3 linked regions of the Arabidopsis thaliana genome follow. The protein of the gene in region 2 interacts with the protein of the main gene of each other region in a pairwise test. Each region holds a gene or a part of one and is shown on either strand. Other genes may lie near its edges.

Evidence for each region.
Region 1: the proteins of AT5G51780 (region 2) and AT5G50915 interact in a two-hybrid assay, tested with the Arabidopsis thaliana proteins (one large-scale study listed by BioGRID).
Region 3: the proteins of AT5G51780 (region 2) and AT3G61950 interact in a two-hybrid assay, tested with the Arabidopsis thaliana proteins (one large-scale study listed by BioGRID).

Annotation. Positions count from the first base shown.
Region 1 is NC_003076.8:20,708,126-20,716,289, forward strand, and holds AT5G50915 (basic helix-loop-helix (bHLH) DNA-binding superfamily protein), read right to left. Parts: upstream 4,340-8,164; 5' UTR 4,128-4,339; coding exon 3,798-4,127; intron 3,703-3,797; coding exon 3,577-3,702; intron 3,468-3,576; coding exon 3,402-3,467; intron 3,293-3,401; coding exon 3,224-3,292; intron 3,133-3,223; coding exon 3,049-3,132; intron 2,943-3,048; coding exon 2,832-2,942; coding exon of another isoform or gene 2,811-2,831; exon of another isoform or gene 2,714-2,810; coding exon 2,639-2,713; 3' UTR 2,600-2,638; exon of another isoform or gene 2,466-2,599; 3' UTR 1,978-2,465; downstream 1-1,977. Other genes in the region: AT5G50910 (uncharacterized protein), read right to left, coding at 284-412, 936-1,157; CLPC1 (CLPC homologue 1), read right to left, coding at 7,585-8,164.
Region 2 is NC_003076.8:21,030,971-21,038,835, reverse strand, and holds AT5G51780 (basic helix-loop-helix (bHLH) DNA-binding superfamily protein), read right to left. Parts: upstream 4,211-7,865; 5' UTR 4,027-4,210; coding exon 3,856-4,026; intron 3,616-3,855; coding exon 3,259-3,615; intron 2,456-3,258; coding exon 2,390-2,455; 3' UTR 2,063-2,389; downstream 1-2,062. Other genes in the region: AT5G51770 (Protein kinase superfamily protein), read right to left, coding at 5,842-7,806.
Region 3 is NC_003074.8:22,935,869-22,943,709, reverse strand, and holds AT3G61950 (basic helix-loop-helix (bHLH) DNA-binding superfamily protein), read right to left. Parts: upstream 4,323-7,841; 5' UTR 4,050-4,322; coding exon 4,017-4,049; intron 3,906-4,016; exon of another isoform or gene 3,600-3,905; coding exon 3,006-3,599; coding exon of another isoform or gene 2,982-3,005; exon of another isoform or gene 2,934-2,981; coding exon 2,565-2,933; coding exon of another isoform or gene 2,514-2,564; exon of another isoform or gene 2,459-2,513; coding exon 2,378-2,458; 3' UTR 2,228-2,377; downstream 1-2,227. Other genes in the region: AT3G61960 (Protein kinase superfamily protein), read left to right, coding at 1-45, 145-199, 291-520, 608-924, 994-1,252, 1,329-1,399, 1,556-1,744; MTPA1 (Cation efflux family protein), read right to left, coding at 5,261-6,265; AT3G61930 (uncharacterized protein), read right to left, coding at 7,785-7,841.

The sequences.
Region 1 (8,164 bases), 320 kb from region 2:
ACATTCATCTTGTTATCGATTCAGTGTGTGTACGGCAACTAGCCTACTGCAAACGCAGCGAATGTTCTCCATATAAAACCAGTGAAATTTTGGTGTTAAAATTAGGTTTACGAAATCAAGTTTTTAATGAATCGTTTACCATTTCCATAGAATATTTGTTAAAATCGATCCGTTGTTATAACAAAGAGTCAAAGACTATCGGTAAAATATATAAGAGTAGCTACTAGCTAGTTAAGGTTTGTTTGGTACTCAATTCTTATGGGCCTATAAGTAAACTGAAATATTAGTCTTTGTTGCTCATTGTTGTTAATGGGCTTTCTAAAGTGTGTGCTTGGTCTACTTTCTTGATAACCCAACTGATAAAGACTGAACCTGCTTCTAAACCAGTAACAATAGTTGGTCGACTAGTATACTGATAGAAAATAATAATTTTAAGCTTAAATATGACCTAGTATCAGTGTTTCTTCAACTTCAAAACTTTTGATGATGTTATTTTGGTTAATAAGGTTGTATTTTCTAGAACTACTACGTCATTATATATCTATACGTATTTACATTTTCATCGTCCTATAGAGTTTACTTGTTCACTTACCATTCACTACTTTGAGAGGGATAGAAGAATGGCAATTTCAACAGCCATCTTGGCTAGCTACTATCTTTATAGTTTTTGTAATGGAAGAATGATTCATGTACACGTGGAAATGAAGTTAGGTACATGAAAACAAACAAAGAAAAAGAGTGTAATAGAAGAGATGGGACTAGACATAGACATGAAAATCTCTGGACGACTAACGGCCGGACTGCTCATTTAATCATGCCTTCGAATTGTTGCTTTTTTTTTTTTTTTGGCTGTATTAGTTGTGTAATAATGTACAACATTTTTTCTCACCTAGGCGTGTTATCAAATTGAATCGTGGACCCTTCGGTTAACTTACCAATCGTTCTCGCATAAAACGTGTCATCAGATATTTAGGGTTTGATTTTGATAGGTTTGATGATGCGAAGAATCGAAACGCACAGTTAAAGTTATAAGAGGTATACTTTGAAATAAACATATGAGGTGAAATGATGTGCATAAGATTTACGAAATGTGTTGTCCATTGATTCAGGATGAAACCGTTAGCAGATACAATTATGTGCCACGAGAAACTTAGCATTTCCTTTGTTATTGTATTTTATGATTGATCAATTTGCCGTATAATAACTTGGGACCAAATTCATATGCATTTTCGATTAAAAAAAAAAAAAAAAATCGTATTCATGACGAAACAATTGCAAGAAAATGATGACCCAATTCATCTAGCAACATATCATATTTATAATAATAAAAAAGGGAAAAAGTGAAAATTTTGAACCATAGTCCAATAACAAATCTTAGAAGAGATGATATCAATTAAATTTTACTTATTTAACTAAAATCTCAAATTGTTGAATTGTGAAGAGTAATCTCACAAATCATATACATCCTGACATATACATCAAGAAATGAAAATCATACAAAAAAATCTCTATTCTAGGTTCGTTAATAAAAGAGGTTATTAATATGTATGTAACTGAATAACGATAATATACATAAGGCTCTTGCATATAATTTATTTAGGTGTATTCAAATAAATCCTGCAATTTAGGATTGAATAACTCAAGGAATCGTTAATTACCACCTCATGAAAATGTTAGACAACCAACAAATCATATTTACAAATACAACAGTATCAAATATCTCTTTCAAGAATTTTGGTATATATATATTAGACATACTCTAAACTAAAATAAAACTTATAACATATGTATTGTGAAAGGACAGATACAGAGGAATGGGAGTTATCAATGTGTGACAAGTGAGAGCAGAAAAGCATGACCAAACTATTCAACAGGTACATTAAAGTGTTCTCAGGAAGGGAAATCTAATCTTTTCTTCTGACATAATTTTGTAGCCAACTAAATTGACAGGAAACGAATCATTTAGATTTATATACATGCATAAGTAGTTATCCCTCGAACATTTTTATATATATAGGAAATATAACATGAGTGTGTGGATAACAGTTTACATTTAAAAAGATTGGAGGAAAAAGGAAACTTTGGTGCAAGAAATCAGAAAGACAGAAGTGGTGAAAATACAAGAACTTATAAAATTAATGAGTGGATACATCAAAATTCAATTATATTAAAAAAAACAATGATTAAGCTGATAGGTCTTCTTAGTTTATATGTCTTTCTTTCCTCCATCGAATTTGCCTCTGCCTCATATACCATTCTCTTTTAGTATGAATTTATCCATTGATTTTATGTAATGATTATGTTGAAACTCTCGGGACAAATAGAGAAAATGAGCTTTTTAAGTCTCTAAAATACTTTATTTCTTCAAACTATATAAACGGAACAAATAAGTACATCCACTTTTACAAAACCTGGTTTACGTAGATTTTATTCCCTCCGTGCAAATGGGAGGAGATTAAATCAACCTACATCCAATAAACGATAGCAATAATTACGAACCCACATCAAGATTTTTAACAATTTCTATATGAGAAATGTTAAAAATAATTGTAATGATAATAATTAGGTAGTTGAAGAGACAAGACCAGAAGAAACTCACGAAAGCAGGCTTTTGTGTTTGTGTCGACATGTAATTTTATCAAGGGAAAGAACAGAAGTTGTTGTTGTTGAACCCACTTCTGTCTACAAAGTTCTCTCTTTCTTCTCCCTCTTCCTAAATTAAGCAACACATCACTATCTATTAATCTTCCAATAATTGATTCTTATCTATCTTCATTCTCCTTATTATAATTATTATCTGAAATAATCACTTATAGAAAAAAATGAAAAACCTGAACTTGTGCATGTGTGGGAACTACAGAATTATCCAATAGTGAAGGAAAGATAGGAGTAGTTGTTGGCATTGCATTGGTAAAAGACGTTCCTACTTCTGGAGAACCCATCTGTCCATCAAGAAAATATCTACTTAAGATCCATAACCGGCTTTTCGGGATACATGACTTGGTTTTATCGGTAACCGGATTAAGAGACATTGTGTAAATGAAATACCTCAGATTGAAGTATGAGGCCATCAAGGTCGGAGCCAAAGTCATAGACCACCGGACTTATAGAAGTTAGCTTCATTGAGAGAAACTAATGAAACAGAAAAAAAAGTTATGAATTAGAAACATTAGTTTTAACATAAAATGTTACAAGAAAAAACAAAATAATTAAGAAAATGCACCTCAACTTGAGTCTGCAAGGTCTGGACATAATTTATAATCTCATCCAACATGAGGGCCTTCCCTGTTACCTATTCGTTTTCAAGTCACATTTAATCAATTAATAACATTTTCTAGAAACATTATAAAATTAAACCATTATCAATTCTCCTAAATAAAATTGTCTCTACTCTAGCTGACCTTATCACAGCCCGGAACAAGGTTTTGCAGAGTCCTCATCCGCTCACTTATCTTTTCCCTTCTCACCTTTACATATATATATATATAAGTTTAATCAAATATTAATCAAAATGTATTTTATGAAAACATGATTAATGAAGAAAAATTAAAATGTTAAGAGAAATGACTAAAATACCCTCTCAGCAAGGCTGTGGCTATCAGTAGCTTGGCCTCTTCTAGCTCGAACGTGAATGTAATCTGTTGGAGGCTCTTCTTTGCTTCCTCTCTTCTGTTTTTTGCTTTTTCTTCCCTCTACTCCTTCCTAATTCACCAAACCACACCAACATTTATGTTTTTGACTATCCCAACCCCATCACATAAATGATAGATGATACATTACAAGTTGGTTTAACATACCTTGGAGTTATTACTGTTTCTGGCCTTCCTCCCACGGGTTTTTCCGGTGTTGGTGATGGCTGATGGTCCGTGGCTGAGCTGGTCGCAGGAAGAAGAACCGGTGGTTGCTGTTTTGGTTGTGTTGGCCAGTTTCTCTGAACCAGAGTTTTCAGTTTTGTCAACATTATATTCAAGAAAGGAAATGTCTTCAACTGTGGAAATGTTTGGTAGTGGATAGAGATGGTTTTGATCGATGAAACTAGTGAGATTAATGGAGGAGTGAGGTGTAGGGAAGAGAAGAGGATCAAGAAGGGAATGAGGGTAGTTTTGGAAATAAGAGAAAGTTGCCATTTTAAGAGTAGAAGCTTCTGAGTTCTCTTATCTTTGTCGATAGAGATAGTGTTTTTTCTTTGTGAGAGAAGATTAAGGACTTGAAGTGGTTTATATAAGGAATTGCTTTTGTATTCACTATTCAAAGAAACAAGGAGAAACAGAAGAAAGAGTATTTTAGGGACCACTTGTATATTGAAGATACCTTTTTATTTGAGAAGAAATTACTACCATATTTCGGCGGGTAATTTATGTTAGATGATATGTTTATATATAATATCGAGATTGTATATTTAAGTAATTGCATTGAGTAACCATGGAAGAGTAAAAATGAAAATTTAAGTAAATAATGTTGAATTTCAAAAATTAGGTGACTAATGATCTTTCATCATTCTTAGATACGTATGTTCTCTTTTTTTTTTTTTTTCAAATGCAAACTCATGGAATATTTGTCTATTTATTTTGTTTAGTTTTATTACTCTATGGGTATCATGATATTTTAGAAAATTTGTTTCAAATTACTTTATGTAAGAACTTATAATTTTAAATTTTGTTGTAATTTGTATTCTCCATAGTTTTATGTTATTTAGAGAATAAATTATGTTTTGAAATATAAGATTATAAATACTACATAATTTGTAATACAACCATGTTGTAAAACTAAACAAGACAAATACTGATCAATATATCATTTAATTAAGACTTTTTTTATAAGAATATAATAGCGCATAACGTGAAAACAATAAATGTACTATAAAAAGAAGTAATCAACTAAACCCATTAAATGAACGAAAGAACGACCAACGTGGGCAGTCGAACTCGAGGAAAATGTTCTCTAAAACCAATTGATGTATTTGTATTGACCATCAACTACACTCACGTAAGCATTCAATATTGTCGCCCTAACAACGAACTATATTTAGAAATGCCCTAAAGCTATGGCTTGTTTTACTTTATAAGAGGGTCGGACCTATAATACACATATCAAAAAAGTTAATGTACACCAAAAGAGCAATATTTATCATTTATCAATCAATTTTACTTTATCAGATTGCAGAACCTTTGCCACAGCTAATATATAGATCAATATATAGGCACAGTTTAACGAGTCAGATATAATTAAAGACTAGATAGTAGAGAGATATATTACCCTATCCAAAATACTGTACATTTAGAACTAAATATGTAATGCCGCGTGATCTTCTCAATAATAATCTCTATGTGGATACCATAATACTACAAACTTTTGTCCATTTTTGTTAGAGAAAATAAAAACTTTTGTCCATTTCCCACTTTGGATCGACATAGGAAATTTCCTTTTCAGAAAAGGACAAAAGAAAAAAAATTGTGAATAAGGTGTGAAGTCCAATCCCATGATACCGTTGGGTATGCATAGAAGACAAAAAATCATAAATCTCCATTTTGTTTTGATATAATCGGGTACTCTTATAGTAATAATCGAAAAAACGAGTACTTGACCATCAAAATTTATCACAATCCATGTCCTTAATTATTTAGACTATTATAATTCCTTTCTTCTATTTATAAATTATTATTATGACACGTACTTAACAAAAACATTAAGCGAATCTACGATTAATTAATTATCAATTGTATACGTACGAATACGATCTATGGACTTTCTATTATGATTTTCTTTTTGAGATCAAGTTTAGAGCAGAAAGAAAACATGCTAATTAGGAACCAAGAAAACATTATGATTGTTCTTTTGGACATAATTTACATGTCAAAGGTCCGCATGAGCTTGTAATTAATTATCATAACCCGAAGATGATAGAGATTATGCACGTTTCATCCGGATGAGGAATAAACATTTATTGGCATCATATTTTCTTCACCAATATCTCTCTTTTGCTTCTTTTCAAATCAGGGTACTTGCACAAAACCTTTATTCTTTATCTAACGCATTTAATTAGCGGCTGATCTATTATTTGTACTGTGTTTTGAATATTCAAGATCACATTTAAAGAAAAGAATAAGTGCACGAGACTAATTACGAAAGGATGATATGAAAATGAATCTTGAATTACGAGATAGATTAGGTACATTACTTCACTCTAAGAAATTGACTCAAAGTTTTCTTCTACCATCCTATATCCCAAAACATTACTTACAAATGCAAAGAAACAACTTCCATTTTACGGCGTTTTCTGGCCGATAAGTCTAGTGAATTATGTGACGATTGTAAGATATATGAAGTAAGTTAGGTTGATCTCATAACTGTTATAGATCTCTATTAATCACTTCGTTTATTTAGCTTAATCTCATTATATTTGTTATTCAAATATGTTGCATCTCTATATGTTTTCTTCTCTATTATCAAAACAGTTTTATGTCCTTCTACCATATTATTTCCATTTTGTTTAGTGAAGTATTGATTTTCTCTACTAAGAAGAATACAAATAAATCAACCTGGCAATAGACTAATTAACGTACGGTTACGTCTACGAAATAGATATTCATAGAAGTCTCTATCCGCATGATACGAGAGATAACCTTTTACTCACATATCATCGCCTACAATGCAATAAAATAGTAACAAAGAGAAAAAAATTCTAATTAAAAATTGATGAGTTTTGTGATGGTACGACTCTCCTTTTGTTTTTTATCTATTCAATTTACGAATCTATGCAAAATCTCCGAAGATTTAATAGTACCTGTGCAAACTGGCACTAGCTATGTTCCAATATGTGACATCGCTTTCTTCTACACTAATACCAAATTCAACATGAAACGTTTTATCTTAATCCTATGTTATATCAATTTCAGTGTTCCTTATTATATTTAAAGGAACTCAAAGATATTACGTCAAAATGTAATTAGATTATTATAAGTTTTTATATGGTTTTACAAGGTTTGTAAAGTCTTATATACAGACTATAAAGTGATTTTTTTGAAAAGCTTTTCTCTTAATAGTAGTTTTGAAAAGCAGTATCATATTTTTCAAAATTCCTATTGTTTATTCACGGATAACCTAATGATGTGTAGATTAGGTTAAAAATGTGGACAATATGAAGAACATTCAAAGAATTAGTTCATGTGAGCTTTTGTTGGTTTAGGATTTGGTAGTAGCTAGTCGGTTCCATATGCTTTTATTGGTTTTCTTCAATTCTCTTACTTCTTCACGTCATATATTTGACCTTGTTATGTTTGATTGATTCCATGTGTATTATCCTACACTTTAGTTTATTTTTTGGGTTATGAAATCCTAAACTCTTTTGACGTCGAACCCCAACATAAAAACTCCTCTTTGCATGGGCACCAAAGACAAGTCCTTAAAAAGCATGGAAGAAAAAGAAGCTACACAATGTCATCTATACATTACATTTTTCATATATTTAGAAAATGTATATTAAGAAAGCCCCCATGTATCTCAATTCATAACCTTCTCTTGCCATAATTCATTTAAGGGCCAAAGCAAAAGAAGAGAGAAACGCACGCACTTTGCTTTTTTTATTTAAGCAACAGGGAGAGAATCTTCCTGCTCCTCCAAGGAAGTAGTTGGAGTGCCACTTCCACCATTTAGCACCGTGACGTTACCTTCAGCGTCAACGTCCACAATCACCGAGTCTCCTTCTTTGATCTCTCTCGCAAGCATCTTCTCTGCCATACTATCCTCTAAAAGCCTCATGATGGCTCTTCTCAACGGTCTTGCTCCATAGCTCGGGTTATAACCTTCGTCTACTACTCTCTCTTTGAATCTTTCGGTCACCTGAAGCTCAATCTCTTTCTTCTTCAACCTCTCGAACACTTCCTTCAACAGTATGTCAGCAATTTCTTTCACTTCCAGCTTTGTTAGCTGTCTGAACACAATCATCTCGTCTAGCCTGTTTAGGAACTCGGGTCTGAAGTATTGTTTCAGCTCCTCTGTTACAAGGCTCTTGATTCTGTTGTAACTGCTGTCTTTCTCGTCGTAGTCTAAGTCGAATCCGATACGTCTTCCTCCTTTCTCAATCACGCTGCTTCCGACGTTTGATGTCATGATGAGAAGTGTGTTTTTGAAGTCAACTGTTCTTCCTTTGCTGTCTGTTAATCTA
Region 2 (7,865 bases):
AAAACAACGAAATGATTATGTGTGGTTTCTATTAGTTTTGGCCCAATAAAACTTTATGGTGGCAACAAAGAACATTCGGCAAATAAGAACGTGTACATGTACTCAAATAATATAATCTCATGCAAGAGAAGAGATTATTTATCAATATGTTTGTGAAGATGTTCGCAGTATCAATGAACACACAAATGTTGTCAGTATTATAACCGAACTTTCTAACGCAGTCTAAGCATGAAAATCATATTGTTATAGTATACATTAGAATTGCGGAAAATTACGTACATATCCCATAACAGTTAAATGAAAAAAAAAAGAGAACAAGAATACAAACATCATTTAAAAATATTGGGAATTCACTCTCATTCACTTGGACAGAGAAAATATCTTATCAGTTTCTTTTGTTGTTTTGGCAATTTCGATTGTCATCGGGTAAAACTTCTAGAAACTAACCTCACGATATTTTTCAATCAAAATATGATAAAGATAAATAGTAAAACCAAGGGAGACACATTTAATAATGGGGATAAGCTAAGTGGATAGGATGAGTGAAGTGGAGTGGACATAGTTAAAAGATAGGCCTAGGACAGCTCATGCAACTTCAAGACAAGGTGGAAGAGGAGACAAGAAAGATCCTGGTTATTAATAGATGGAAACCAGCTGTTTCATTTGTCCTAAAATATCCCAGCCTCATTAGCATCTCATGGATCCCACTCTCCCAAATTATTTCGAGCATGCATTATGCCACATGTGAGTTTATGTAGTTATTCATTATAACCTCAAGTTTGATTTTTGTTCTGTGTGTAAGCCGTGTTCAGTTACAAACCAACCACTTATAATAATCTAACAGTATTTTCTAATCAAATTGTTAGAAAGGTAAACAGTAGAACTGCCGTCAAGGAAGACGAATTTGATGTAGTAAGGGACTACTTTTTTTTTTTTTTTTTTTTTTTTAGTATGGGACTACTTAAAGTCTTAAAACAATAGTTTTGATCGGAAACAGAAAATCTAGTCGATTCGTTTTTGGGAGATTTACTCGATAAATCTTTGATTTTGATGATCCTAGTGATAGTTTCTAATAGGTTGAGAGAAAAGAAAATAATAACGATAACTAGAGCTTCCGAGTTGTATAAATACAAGATTCTTATTTATAAATCGAATTTGAATTTAATTTCATAATATTTTAAAATAATTAAAAACAATTATCGGAAAATTCCAAAACATTTCCAACAGATTTTGATTTCCAATGTTGTATATTCGACGGTCGAATTCCGTCAAAAATCTCGAAAATCCATTTCTAACGGTTTTCCCCGTAGGATCTTGCATGTTTAATGTTTTCTTGTTGTATATGTTTAATACATAGTATTTGTTTTCTTTTCATAAAAAGTTCACTTAACCGAATTTGTTTTGAAATTATTAATGAGACTTTAATAATATATTGTCTGGCAATAATTTTATGCTTTTTCAGTTAGGTTTGTTTTGTAAAAGTTCATCATCATGAACATATCGTTGTATATGTCGCCCAAAAAAATAAAACTTTTAAGATATTTTAGTTTTGTGAAACCAAAATGCTAACTAACCGCAAGCATTTTTTTATATAAAAAATTCACAAATGTATTATATTGGAATTTCAATAAAACTTTCACTTGCGTTGCTAGTACAACGTAACTCACTGTACTATACATTTTGATAAAATATAGTATCAGTTTTATAATATCCAAATATTGACCTTTAAAAAGATGGAAAATACTTAGCTGTTCATAATAAGAAACTCATATTTTTATCCTACAAATTAAGATTAAAGCAGATTGAAGCTACAAAAATCTTTATAATACTATATAGTTTGTTTGCTTAATTTTGTATATACTTTAATAGCTGTTTCATATATGCTTCATTTTTTTGTTTGTAAACAGATTCTTATACGAGCACTAATATGTGCAACTTAATGAGTTTAATATATTATAGTCTTGTCTTACAATTATAAATTCTTATTTTGTAAATTTTCGTTGGTTTTTCTTATATATAAATCAGCAGAATACTACCAACTCTTTTTTTTTTTTAATAAACGAATGCTACCAGCTTCAAACACTGCCTAGACACCACTAAAAACTTTAATTTCTTTTTGAAATTGATCAAATAAAATCCCAATCATAGCATATAACCATAAAATATTAAAAAAAACATATAACCATGAAGTACTAACTCAGCTTATGGGAAACATAATTTTCCGATCTATAAACAACTAAATGAGCTAATGACAATCAGATGGAATAAACATAATATACATACAGATAGATGTGAACACGACACAACAATCACAGGTACGAATAAAGTACGTACTTAACTATATATGTCGTTTACTTGACAAGTTAAGAGCAACCTACTCAACAAGAATTTACTTCATTCTGATTAATCTCTTTTCAAGTTCTGCTAAGTCAATCATCAAAGCCATATCGTTGACCTGCAAAACAAAAGAAATTTTCAATATATATACTCAAATGTACCAAACTCTTATGTATAGTAGTATATATACGAAGTATACATCTCTTCATACGAGTAAGATTTTTGCTTTGAAGAAAATTCGAAGACAAAATCAAACAACAGGCACAGTTAATTGATCATTTTGTTCTATAATTGGATATTCCATGCCACCCTCTAACCTGGGACAGAATTATTGAAATACCTTGATAATGCACATGCACCCTCTAACCTCCAGAAATATAATAGTTTTCAAAATTCAATACATACACCATGAGGTGATATATATATTTAAATGCATGAGGGATATAAATTTTAATTACCACATGTGAGAACATTTTCTTGTATATATGGACAGTTGCAATTATGATTTCTTCTTTTCAAATATTTGATGCTTAAGATAGAAAGATATATAAGGTTCCTACTAACGTCCACAATCTGATGGATTCAAATGTCGATAGTATATACATATATTAGCAAAGACCTCAATTCTTTTCTTTTTTTTTGAATCTAAATTGAGATGTTATGAAATTGTGTGTATGTGTATCTTACAACGCAACCACACAAATTCTTGTTTTTACCAACCATTTTTATAAACTACAAACATGAAAACCAAACAAAACGAAAGGTTTATGGAGAACTTTGATTTGCATTTTGTTAAAGAATTTAATGAAAAGTTCGAAATAGAAAGTATTTTTAGAAAAAAATAAAAATATTTTGGAGCAATTGATGTCTATATCGCAGCTGAAATAAGTAACTAAGATTATGAGGGTAGGATAGGTTTACCTCGGCCTGTATGGTGTAAACTAGCCTATCATCAACAATAGAGGAGATGGAGTTAAGAAGGCAGAGACCATATTCACTAAGCACTTGAAGAACACTCGAAAACCGCGGTTGGCCACCGCAGCAGCGGCTACTCAACATGATTTCCACACCAACCAAACACTGACGAACCACCACATGATTTTTCCCACTTATCATCTCCACATCTTCCTTAAAATCACCATTACTACTACCCAATAAACTTCCTCTAGACAGTACCATGAGATCATCTCTCCTCACACTTAGCTCCTTGATCTTCCTCTGTAGATACTTTATGTAGTTCACCGCCTCGTTGACTTGATCTGACGTCGAACGCTTACCCTAGAGAGAGCAAAAGAATCCGCCAAGAAACAAAACAAACCAAGAAAGCAATAGATCTATTTAGGAACCTTTTAAGAAAAACACTATAGTTAAGTAACATCACAAAGTCAAAACACTTGTTACTATATCCCTTTTTCATTTTCTTACATGGAAGACTAAATAAAAGGACAAAGATTAAGTAGATCTAAGAAGTCATGAAGAACCGAAATCAGGATTAGGGTTTTTAGGGGAGTGTGAGACCTTGATGAAGTGAAGAGGGAGAAGAGAACGAAGAGAGGCATAAAGAGAAGCCATTTCTTGTCTCCTTTGCCTCTCAGTTTCTCTGTGCATCATCTTCTCCATGTCGTTATTATCAGTACCACATGTCAGCTTCGTACACCGTCTTCTTCTCTTGTCCCGACAATCATCCATCTGGTGGTCTTAAATTAATAAAAGTAAATATTCCTTTAAAAGATTCTCTACTTCTGATGATGAAGATGAGACAGCAAGATCTGATCTTATGCGGATTTTGTGATCTTAGTCTTTAGAAGAACAGCTCAGGGCTTTGTTGTAAAGTTGAAAAATTATTGCAGTCTTGAAGATTGAGCAAATTAATTTAAAAAAAGATATTTTGATAATATTATTTAATAGAGAGAAGAAGATACGTTGGTTAGTCGTATCGGAAAAAGAATTAAAAATACGTTTGATAGGGTACGCACGCAGTGATGGTCTTCATCAGCTCTTCTTCTATAGTTAATAATATAATCAAATATGTGATGTTCTATTCCGATCGAGATCACATGCTTACTCTTTTCTTATTACCATTCTACATTTTAAGACATCCTCCAAATTCTCAAGATAAACTTTGCACATGCAATTCACTAAAAAACAAAGATTTTAGCGACCAAATTATCCGGTTGGTTAGATGTTATGTAACAAGTATTCGTTTTGTTGAAATTGTTTTAAATATTATCGTCTTTTTAATTAATGCATTAAAATTTTAACAAAATATACTCAAAATGATATATAATCAACGTATTGTTGATGTCAACAAAATTCGTTTGAAAGGCATCAATATTCAATGATATACCGTTTTAAACAGTACGACTGTAATTATTAAGCCATTTCTTACAAGGTGAGGTGGTGGTAATTTTCGTCAATTAGACTTTGGTTTTACAAATCTTTGGCAAAAGGTAGTCGGTATTTCGCATGAACCACACCTATGAGCCCAAAACAGGAAATTAACGCTATAGAGCTTATATATAACTAAAACTTCCACGAAAATCACTTCTTGAAAAAGAATAAACAAACATACAACCTAAAATAAAATACTTGAAAAGTGATTGTTCGTGGTAAATTATGCGATAATTGACACTTTCTTTTTAGTATTTGTATGGTTGGTAGTTGTGGGACAGTAAAGGTTTATACCAGCACGACATTGATATGTTATTTATAGATGGTAAATGTCAGCTAATTTTAACCATACAACTAAAATCGTTATGAAAAACTATACGAACGAAAGATATGTAAACATGGCCAAAAGTTATTTCATATGATTTTATTTCTACCAATATGGTTAAATCGTGTTTTTGAAGCTTTTTGAAAATAATCACCTTACCCCTCCCACCATTATATCCTTTTTCTCTCTTCAAAACTCACTAATGTACATGTTTTTTTTTTTTCTTTTAACTTGGAGGCTTTTTTTTTTTTTTTTTGTCGTAAAAAAATTATATCTTCAAGACCGGCTTTGCCCAAAAGTTAGTGGTTTCATGAATTTATAATGTTAGAAAAAAATTAGAAATATAACGTTCTCCAAAGCCCAATAGACCAATTGTATTTTGATATTCAACAAAGGGCCAGTCCTAACCAAGTGTATAAGACGTAATGACTAGATTAGGGCCACTATAATTTCCTAATAGGCCCAATAACGAGGATCCTGTACAAACATATGACTTTTAGAGATTTCAACAGATTTTTTTATATCAAATCTCAGAATACTCTTCATATGCTGCATCCTTTATGCAAATTCAGCATAAATCTACGAGAAAAACTAGCAAAAATTGATGTTGAGTTTTACAAGAAAATGATCACTAAACTACAATAATTAATCATAATCAGATATACGAAGCTAAAACACCGTTGTGCAAACAAATATAAGTGGCTCAAACACTAAAACATCACTAACAAAGACAGTGTTGTAGGACAAATGCTATAAACCAACACACATCTACCACCAAAGAAACCGCTCTATCGATTCTGCTTCCTTCGTGCCTTGAACGGGAACCGAGTCTGCGGTGATGGTGAGAATTCTGTAGGCAAATCCGGTGGGCTTATCGCTCCTGTAAGCATTTCTAAAACATCTTTCATTGAAGGTCGTGAAACCGGTGATTTTTGCAGACATTGCAAAGCCACCTTAATGCACAAAACCGCTTGTTCTTGGTCTAACAACTGCAGCTTTTCATCCACCAGATCACCGAGTCTCCCTCTTCTCGCCAGCTTCCTCGCCCACGACATGAGATTTGCACGCAGCATGATCTCAGACGCGGGTCCAGTTACTTCCAGCGGCCGCCGTCCTGAAACCAGGACTAACAACAAAACTCCATAGCTATACACATCAGATTTTTCAGACACATCATCTATGTTATTACCACAACACTCAGGAGCAACATAGCACATCGTCCCTCTCATGCTCGGCGTGCTACTGACTCCGCAACTCTTAACTGAATCTTGACTGTTTCTACGCCGTGCTCTCCATTGTTCACCGCTTAGCCCATCTAACCACCAGTCTATGCTACTACCTATACTGTTACTACTAACACCTCTTCTTTTCTTCCTATACACTTCTCCATCCCCGTGCCGCCTTTGATCCACACTTCCACTCACATCATCACTATAAAACTCAGACTCCAAAGTTTTCTTCTTCTTCTTCTTCTTCATTCTCTTAGCAAGCTCTTTCCTATACTCATCTTTCCACCACTCTCTCACCATTCTCCGCTTCTTCTTCTTCCCCTTCTCCTTCTCTTCATCCAACGAAAGCCACCATTCTAATCTCTTACTACTCTTCTTCTTCTCAACTTTCTTACCGCCTTCCGCCGTCTCAGCAATCCAATCACTACTCTGTCTCTCTTCCTTCACCTCAGAACCAATCCATTGCATCACATACTCCTTCCCTTTCCCTCTTCCAACATTCCCTTCTTGCTTCCACCACCAATCTTTACTCCTCACCACATTACCAACCTCCAACACACTTCCTTTCTCCCCCATCTCCGGAGAAACCGATACAACTGTCTCCGGTGACGTCATAGGCACCTGCTCCACCATCTCCGGCGATGAAAGAGGCACCGGAGACTGATCAGTGAATCCAAAGTTAGATTCATCACAACCAGTAGTATTAGTAACAACACTCTCAACTTCTTCAACTACAGAACCATAATCTTCCACTACATCACTCTCAGACACTACTTTAACTTCAACATGTTCAGATTTCAACCTAGCTAAACCAAAATCAGAGATCTTAGCAGAGAAGAATCGATCCAACAATACATTACTAGGTTTCAAATCTCCATGAATCACACAAGGATTCAAGCTATGTAAATGTTCAATCCCTTTAGCTATATCAATCGCAACGAGAAATCTTCGATTCCATATCATAAGCTCAGGAGATCTACGATGAAGAAGAGCATCTTGAAGATTTCCAATATCCATAAGCTCGTATACAAGAATCAAACGGCTTCGTCGTCGTCGAGAGAAGCCAATAACGGAAACTACATGAGGAGAATCAAGCTTACCAGCGAAGAAAAGCTCGTTTTGAAACTCTCTTTCTCCTTGAAGAGAACCTGAATCCATTACTTTAACGGCGACATTACCACCACCGGAGGAAGGAGATAAAGTTCCACGGAATACAGAGCCGAATCCGCCTTGACCTAGTCGATTCTCCGGTGAGAAAGAAGCGGTGGCTTTACGGAGAGATGAGTAGGAGAACTCGTGTAACGGTTGTTTCTGCGGCGGTGTAGAGGAGGAGGCTACGGCGGCGGGAGATCGGCGTTTGCGGTTGAATTTGCAGAAACAGATGGAGAGAGTTATGAAGAGAGAGAAACCTACAGCTGCAAGAGGAGGGAAGATGCGTGTGGTGGTTGTTTCATGGTGAGGTGTGACGGAGGAAGAGAACGGTGAATTTACCGGTGCCGGCGACGGGAGTGTTCGTGACGGCATAGGAAAAAAAAAAACCTCTGAAGTGAAAATAAAAAATTGTGTTATGTTATTATTACACT
Region 3 (7,841 bases), on a different chromosome or scaffold from region 2:
CAGATTGTGTTGATCTGTGCAGAAGTCTTCTCCGCCGAAACCCAAGTATTGTTATATGATTCTCTTTTTGTTTACTTTTCTTTATGATCAATCAAATCACACAACTCAGAATTTTCATGGAAACATCTGGTTTTTTTACTGCAGTTGAACGCTTGACATTCCGAGAGTTCTTCAATCACATGTTCCTTCGAGAGCCAAGGTAAAGTCTGTAGATTTTGACTAAAACAACCTTCATCATCCAAAAGCTATAATTTTTCTCCCCTTAATTATGTCATACTAAATGTTGTTAGACAAATTCCGGATGTTGAGCATTCTGGTTTTAGTACCTGTACGGGGAAATCACTGTTGCCCTCCGCACAACCGAGTACTAGTACAAACCGTTTTAAATCAAGTGCAGAGAATGTTCACAAACATGGGAGTTCCTCTAGTGCCTCAAATTCTCAAATTTCAATGCCACATACCTCTTTTGAGAAGACTAGAAAAGATACTGAGGGACAATGCTCATCAAACCAATCTGGAGGTTTGTTATTCGCAATTTTATGTCTGATCTCTGTTGCTCTGTATAAGATCGTATTACTCACATACTCTTGCTATGTCATTCGTGCAGTTGTTGATTCACTCGAGCTCATAGAGAGAGAGTATGTTCTTGTAAACCGTCCTTCTGCCTCGCTGGAAGGTTCATCAGATTGTTTCGACACATCATTGCAAGATTCCGGTTTTCCTAATATCTTACCAAGGAATGAAAAAGTTTCATCGAGTTCACTTGAAGCACAGAAACCATTATCTGATGTGTCAGGTCCACGACCAGCAAGCGTTTCATATCTGCTAACAGAAGTACAACGCTTAACGATTGTCCATCCTCCAACTAAACTCCAACTTTTGCATCAGTATGCACAAGCACTTACAGAACTAGCTAGCGAGATGGTAACTTGAACTCCTGAACTCTGGGTTCTTAAATGATAACATTAGAGCTTCTAACACCTTTGCATACAGGGCAATACAGGGCAGGTAAAGGAATCTTTTGCTGTTACGCTCGTCGTTTTAGCTGTCTGGAGAAAAGCCTTAGAGATATGTGATTCTTGGATGATGTCCGTTGGAGAGAATGAAGTGAACCCAGATCCAACCACGGCTCCTGAGACTTCGATTCCAGATTTGAATTCACCTGCACCAGCTAAAACGTGGGTGACACAAGAGTTTGTTACCGCGTTAAACCAAGCCGAGAATTTATCAACTCAACTAAACGAAACAAGTGGTTAGTACCTAACCGAGCAATTCTCTGTTATGCTTCTTTGAGATTATCTGAAGGCATCTCCTGCGTTTCATTACAGCTGCCACTCATATGCCTGACGCCATGGAAACAATATACGAGAGGGCACTAGCATATGGCAAGAGTGGTGGGGTAAGTACAAAGTTTCCATCTTTTTCGCTTATGTTTTTACCATTTGGTTCTAAAGTCTGAAAGTTTTATGAAAAGCTTCTTTCTACCTTTCTATCTACTGATTTGTCCTAAAAGTCTGAAACATAGTGGGTTGATCCATTTGTATTTGTTTTTCAGGCTGAAGAATATTTGAGTAACAAAGAAAGTGCAGCAACATTATACAAGAAAGCAATTCTTCTACTCTCCTTTATAATCGAGGAAGCAGTGACTCTATCTCTAAACCCCTCTTTCTCATTAACCCCTGACGACAAGAAGCGGATTCTCTACTACATCTCTAACTTACAGCATCGTCGGTCTCATCTTTAGCGAAAATAGACCGCGGGCATTGTATATAAGAAACTTTCCTGGCTCTGCTTGGGTCAAGTCTATAACATTTGTGGCTTTTCCTTATATTCTCTTGAAATTTCGAAATGGTTACTCTATATTGTTGATGCTGTGACCAAAAAGTATTTGCCTCCCTCATTGTATAGTGCCAATATCAATAATAGCTTAAAATACCAAAGATGCAAACTTTGTTGGTGCACAAACTCTCCCGTGTGAAGCTCGAGGAGGATCACTCCAAAGGCGAAAGCTCTAAACGTCCCATTTGGAAACGAGAAGTCTGGTACACGACATCCCATTGACAATGATCGTAAAGTCAACACTTAAAATAGGGACAAAAGTCAAACCATGATTGATGAAATAATAAAGACGAATAAGATCAAACTTTTAATAAGATGGGACCCAATCTCACAAAACACCCAAAGCCTGAACAATAATAATCGAACAATCCAATAATATACGAACAAAACAGAATTTAATTCTGTCAGTAGGAAAATGAAAGAACGAAAAACGAAATTTTTTTATTCTCTTAATTCTTAAAAAATTGGTACAAGTAGGAAAAAAAAAAAAGATACCATTTTGTCAGCTGTTAATATTTTTGGAATTATATGTGTTTAATCAAATTGTCGGAATATCGAAAATCCGATGAACAGCCGCCGTAATCTCGTCGGCTGACTCTAAGTCGCACTCATCTTCCATCTGCTCCGACACAATTGAAAAAAAAAACAAGATTTTTTAATTAAAGATTCAATTTTCAATGTTGGGTTTTTGTTGATTGAAGTAAAAAATGGAAAGTAGTGTTTACCTTGAGGTTGAAGGAATAAGAAACAGAGGAATGAGACGAAGTAGTGATATTGAGATGAAGAACAGTGAGTTTAAGCTTTTCAAGTGATATGATTCCTTTGAGAAGTTGTCCTTGTTTCTTCTCACATTGAACTTTAAGGCTGACATGGTTTTGTATCACTGTAGCTTCGATTTTGGGGATACAAGTTTGATCTTCAAGAGTTGTCCACAGGTCGTTCGACGAAATGCCTGAGAGATGATTAAGTGCGTTTTCTACTACCTCACTGTTACTTTGTTGTTGCGTTCTCTTTTGCGATTCGAGAGATTGTATGATTTGCTCGAGGACCTTCACGTAGTTTATTGCTCCTCCTACTATGGAAGCTTGGTCTCCCTGCAGGACAACATTTGATAAGGTTTTGATGATTAAAGGTTGAAACTTTCATGTATGCTTTTGGTTATTTACTCGTTGGATGTAGGAAGGTGGGAGAAGGGCCCGGAGAGAGTTGATATGTTCGTTCATTTGACGTCTTCTGTTTCGTTCAACAGCAATGTGGTTTATTCTTTGATTCTCAATCTCTTCATTGTTTTTACTTGGTTTTGTTTTCCTCCTCTTTCTCTTTTCTCTAGTCATTTCTTGAGGCAGCAAGTGGTTGATTTTGCGCTTTCGTCTTGAATGTGCACTGAGTGGTGATGAGGTAGAAGAAGGGAGTGTCATGTTTGCTTGGCTAAAGGGAATTTCTTGGCTTGACACAGCTTGATTGGCTCCTTCCATGAAGCGGTTGGTCTCAGATTGGACCGGTGAATGAAATTGTGAATCCTCAAGTGAAAGATATCTTTCGAGTTCCCAAGGCTCCTTGAGGGTTTGAAGAGACAGTAGCGTCAGAAAGTTTGGCTCTTTGATTGAAAAAAACGATGAGGGGTCTTCACTTTGCAGCATCTGTAGAAATGGAACTGTATCTTGTAAGCTTTCTTCCTCTTTTTCTTTGAAAGCAAAGCTTTGAGCCTCTGCAAATCCTTGAACCTCGAGGCTTCTCACATCCGGTTTTCGATCGAAGAACTGTAAAAATGACAGAGGAATGAGATTAGCCGGTGAGACGCAAATGATTGAAAGAGAAGTGTAATTTAGTTCTACTGTGGGTTAGTTTGGTTCTTAGTACAGAGATAAGCAAAAAAATAGAAAGGAAAATGGAATGTTTTCAAAGAAAGGGAAGCAAAAATGATTGTAGAATTGTTACTGTTTTCTCTAAAACAAACAACAAAAGCATTAAATGCACAGTATCTGGACTAATTAGGAATTGTTACTGTTTTCTCTAAAACAAACAACAAAAGCATTAAATGCACAGTATCTGGACTAATTAGGAATGAGTAAATGCAAGTCCATGTCTCTGAGTATGGAAAAAAATGATTCAAGGGAAGAGAGAAAGATTGAAGAAAGAGAGTTAAAAGTTTTCTAAATCAAGCAAAAGATACATACACAGGGGTTGATGTGTCCTTGAAACCTTTCCATTTGAGAGCTCTTGTTTGGTATGTAATGTAATGAAAAGAAGATGAGTGAGTAATAATAAATGCTAAGAATCACCAAAGAGGCAGAAGAGGAAACTCATGTACTCTCTTCTGATTCTGAGCTTTTATGGACTTGTAACTGTTAGCTTTATATAGAACAGTGAGTCTTTAGTAAAGCTATTGAGTAGAGTGGAAACAGAGGAGCTGTAAAAAACAGAGAGGTAATAAGATAGATGTATTTGGGTACTGTAAGAGTTGGTGAGGCTGAGCAGAGCAGATGAGAGAGAGATATTATTGGTGGAAGCAGTTTTGTCTTGAAGTGGAGACAGACTTTGTGGGGACAGTTCTAAATTACACAGAAGAAGAAGGTAAAAAAGAGACATGTCATGGGTAAGAGAGCTTCTTCCTTTGGGTTTGTGTCATCTTTCTCATGATGTCTCAATCATCCTTTCTTCACTATTCCCATACCACACCATTCCTTTTCTTCAAGGCTCAAAAAGCTAAAACTTTATACAGATACCATGTTGCATTTGCATGCATCCATCATGTTCTAATGATTCGAACCTTTAATAGATGTAAGGTTTCTAAAGTGTGGGATTTTGTTTATTACTTTGCAATCAAACATATCTTGATTACAATTAAAAGAAAAAGGTTGACTCTAAATGCCTTGGCTGCTACGGCATTAAACAGTGTTTGTCCTATAAAAATGTCCCAACATGTCCACAAGCTCAATCCAAACGGGTAACTTCATATCCGGTCTCACAAAATTTGAGCAAAGAAACAAAACATTCGTGCTTTGCATGGTTATTGGTTAACGAAGACCTTAGAAACCTTATCAACACATCAAAACTCCAAAGAAAGTTGAATCTTTGTTTATCAATTGTGTACTGGATATGGTTGTTAACTGTCACACACGAGCTATGGTTACTTGCTCTTAGGACAAACATGCCCCACTCTTTTTGGTAGGTCTATTATCAAAGATAAACCCTAAAGATTCTGATTTTTCTTTAGTAGTAACTTAACACAAATCCCTAATCTCAAATAAAGTTATGTCCTTTTAATTACCTTTTTCAAGACAAGACAACTTATTCATAAACAAGAAAGACAATGGCATATGTCACAACAAGGTAATGAGAGCATACGAGAAAGCGAAAAAAGATTTAACTTTGATCATGAAAATGACAGAAAACCAGAGAAATGAACCCTTTTGTTGTTTTAACGCTCGATTTGTATCGTAACGTGACTGATACGATACTCTCTCCAGATGTAATCGATCACTTTGTTCAGCACCATTTCATCACCAGCTTCTGGTCTAACCTTGACATGACAAGAAAACAGAGCTTTTCCAACTGTAATTGCCCATATGTGCAGCTCATGAACATCCACAACTTCCTCAATTTCCATCAATCCCTTTTCGAGCTGCCTCGCGTCTATCTCTCTCGGTGTGCTCTCCATTAGAACTTCAAGTATGCTTCGAAGCATCTTAATGGTTGTCCCTAAAACAATAACTGAAAAGAATAACGTGCATATCAAGTCAATTACTTTCCATTTAGGGTTATACCAAATCATACCCCCTCCAATCATTACCCCAATGCTCTGAATTAAATCCCCAAGAACATGAAGATAAGCCCCTTGCACATTAATGTTCCTTATTTCCTTGGATTTCTCCAACAACTGCTCAGCTCTTTCCCCATAACTATGACCATGATCATGACTGTGACCATGATCATGCCCATGTCCGTGATCATGTCCAAGCACAACAATCATTATGATGTTTACAACTAAACCAAAAGCAGCAACAAGAACCATAAAGAAACCATCAACATCATCATTGGTCTCTTGAACGAGTCTAGTTACGGCTTCGTAGACCAAAATCCCAGTGAGTAACCAAATGAGCTGGATTGAGACAAGAGTGCCTAAAATCTCTATCCTGAAGAACCCATAACTCTGTCGCGGATTTGCTTCCCAAGAAGAAGCCCACAAGGAGAGCATAGAGATAGCAAAAGCACCAACATCAGTGAGCAAATGAGCTGCATCTGCTAATATAGCCAAACTGTTAGCCTTAATGCCACAAACAACTTCTATGCTCATGAACAAAAGACATAACACCACAACGAAACAGAGCTTTCGCATTGAAGCAGCTCGTTTCTTAGCATCACTTGAAGATGTTGAAAACCCACAAGCTGTTTCTCCACAAACTTTACTTCTTCTTGAATCCATCTGCAGCAAAAAAGATTGTAACTTTAGAGCATGAATCAATATTCAATGGGTTCTATACGCAATCCTATGAATACAGTATATAGATTTGATACCTTACAACAAGATAGTAGAAACTCAATTCAGGAGTAAGGTGTTAGAGTTTGAGACTTGAAGGAGATTTTTAAAGGTGGAAAAAACAGAGACATGCATCCCACAACTACACAAGGATGCGAGCAAACCAAAAATTCACATTAAATGATATGACAACATACTCATACCATAACAGAGAGTCAAACCTCAAATCATATTGTATAACATGTGTAGAAGCATTAGAAAATATATTTAAGTAAAGACCCAATGTAACAATGACGAAATCTAAGCGACATCAGATTCCGATTTGGGCCAATTCTGATATCACACAGAGAGTGGAAAGAATCTTGAAACAAAAGCCAAACTCTCTCTTCATATCGTCTGAATTTCCATTAAAGTTCATAATTTTTTTGTTTTTTTTTGCATAATCTTATTGACGATAGTCCACGAAATTGTTTGTTTTTCAACGAAACAATTGAATCTTTAGGCTGTACAGAATAACAGGCCCATTTTGAAAGTTATATAATGGGCTAATGATAAATGCTAGGCTGACTAAATAAAATAATATACAGAATTACTTCGGCTGCTATGGTTACGAAGAAAATTATTCGGCCTATCTTAGACGTCTCTGACTTTCAACGGGACTCAATTAATTGAAATTTTGAAAAATACAAAAACAAAAAAAAGTACAACATTACATATTGATGGAATGTTAACGTTTGTTTTCTGTAATGATGAATTTGGAAAATTCCAAACGAGAAAATATAAATAAATGGAAACGTCTCGATTCGAACTCTGAATGGAGAATCCAGGTCTGTAAAAAATTTATGTACAAACACACAATAGTCAAATATTATCATAATTCAATTAGGATAACCATAGTAGTTATTTTAAAAATAGAGAAATAAAATATAAAGATTATTAATTATCCTAATTCTGTTTTACATCATTTGGTACAAGAATAAAGAATTTGATCATTTTGAAGCCTTCCGATGGTGCCAAGGAGATCTTAAGAGGCCCAAAGAGAGCAACCAAGCGCAAAAACTTATCTACGTTCCGGAGATTCTATGGGTCGATAAACGACTTGGATGAACCAGATAGTTTTATGGCTCTTAGAATAATTTGAAGTTGTCAATTAGACTTGAAGTTTGTCTTTAAGTTTACCTTTTGAGATGTCCACAATTATGCGATGCTAAAACGCCATCAAAACTCTTATATTTGTTGACGAATAAAAAGTATTGAGATTTACACTTATATCTTTAATTAAATGCGTGACACAAACATACTACTTTTATATATTTTTCTTTTCAATTTTTTGATAACGAAACTCCTTTTTTTTGTTTCTTTAGCCTTACATATAATTGTTGATCTAGAAAACGTTATTAAAGTGTCGTCTATCTAAACTTTAAAACTATATGTATTGAAAGACACATATATATATATTAATGAATTATTCCTCGGTGATGGAACCCAATCTCCGATACACCATGTAACTTCCACGCCGTTG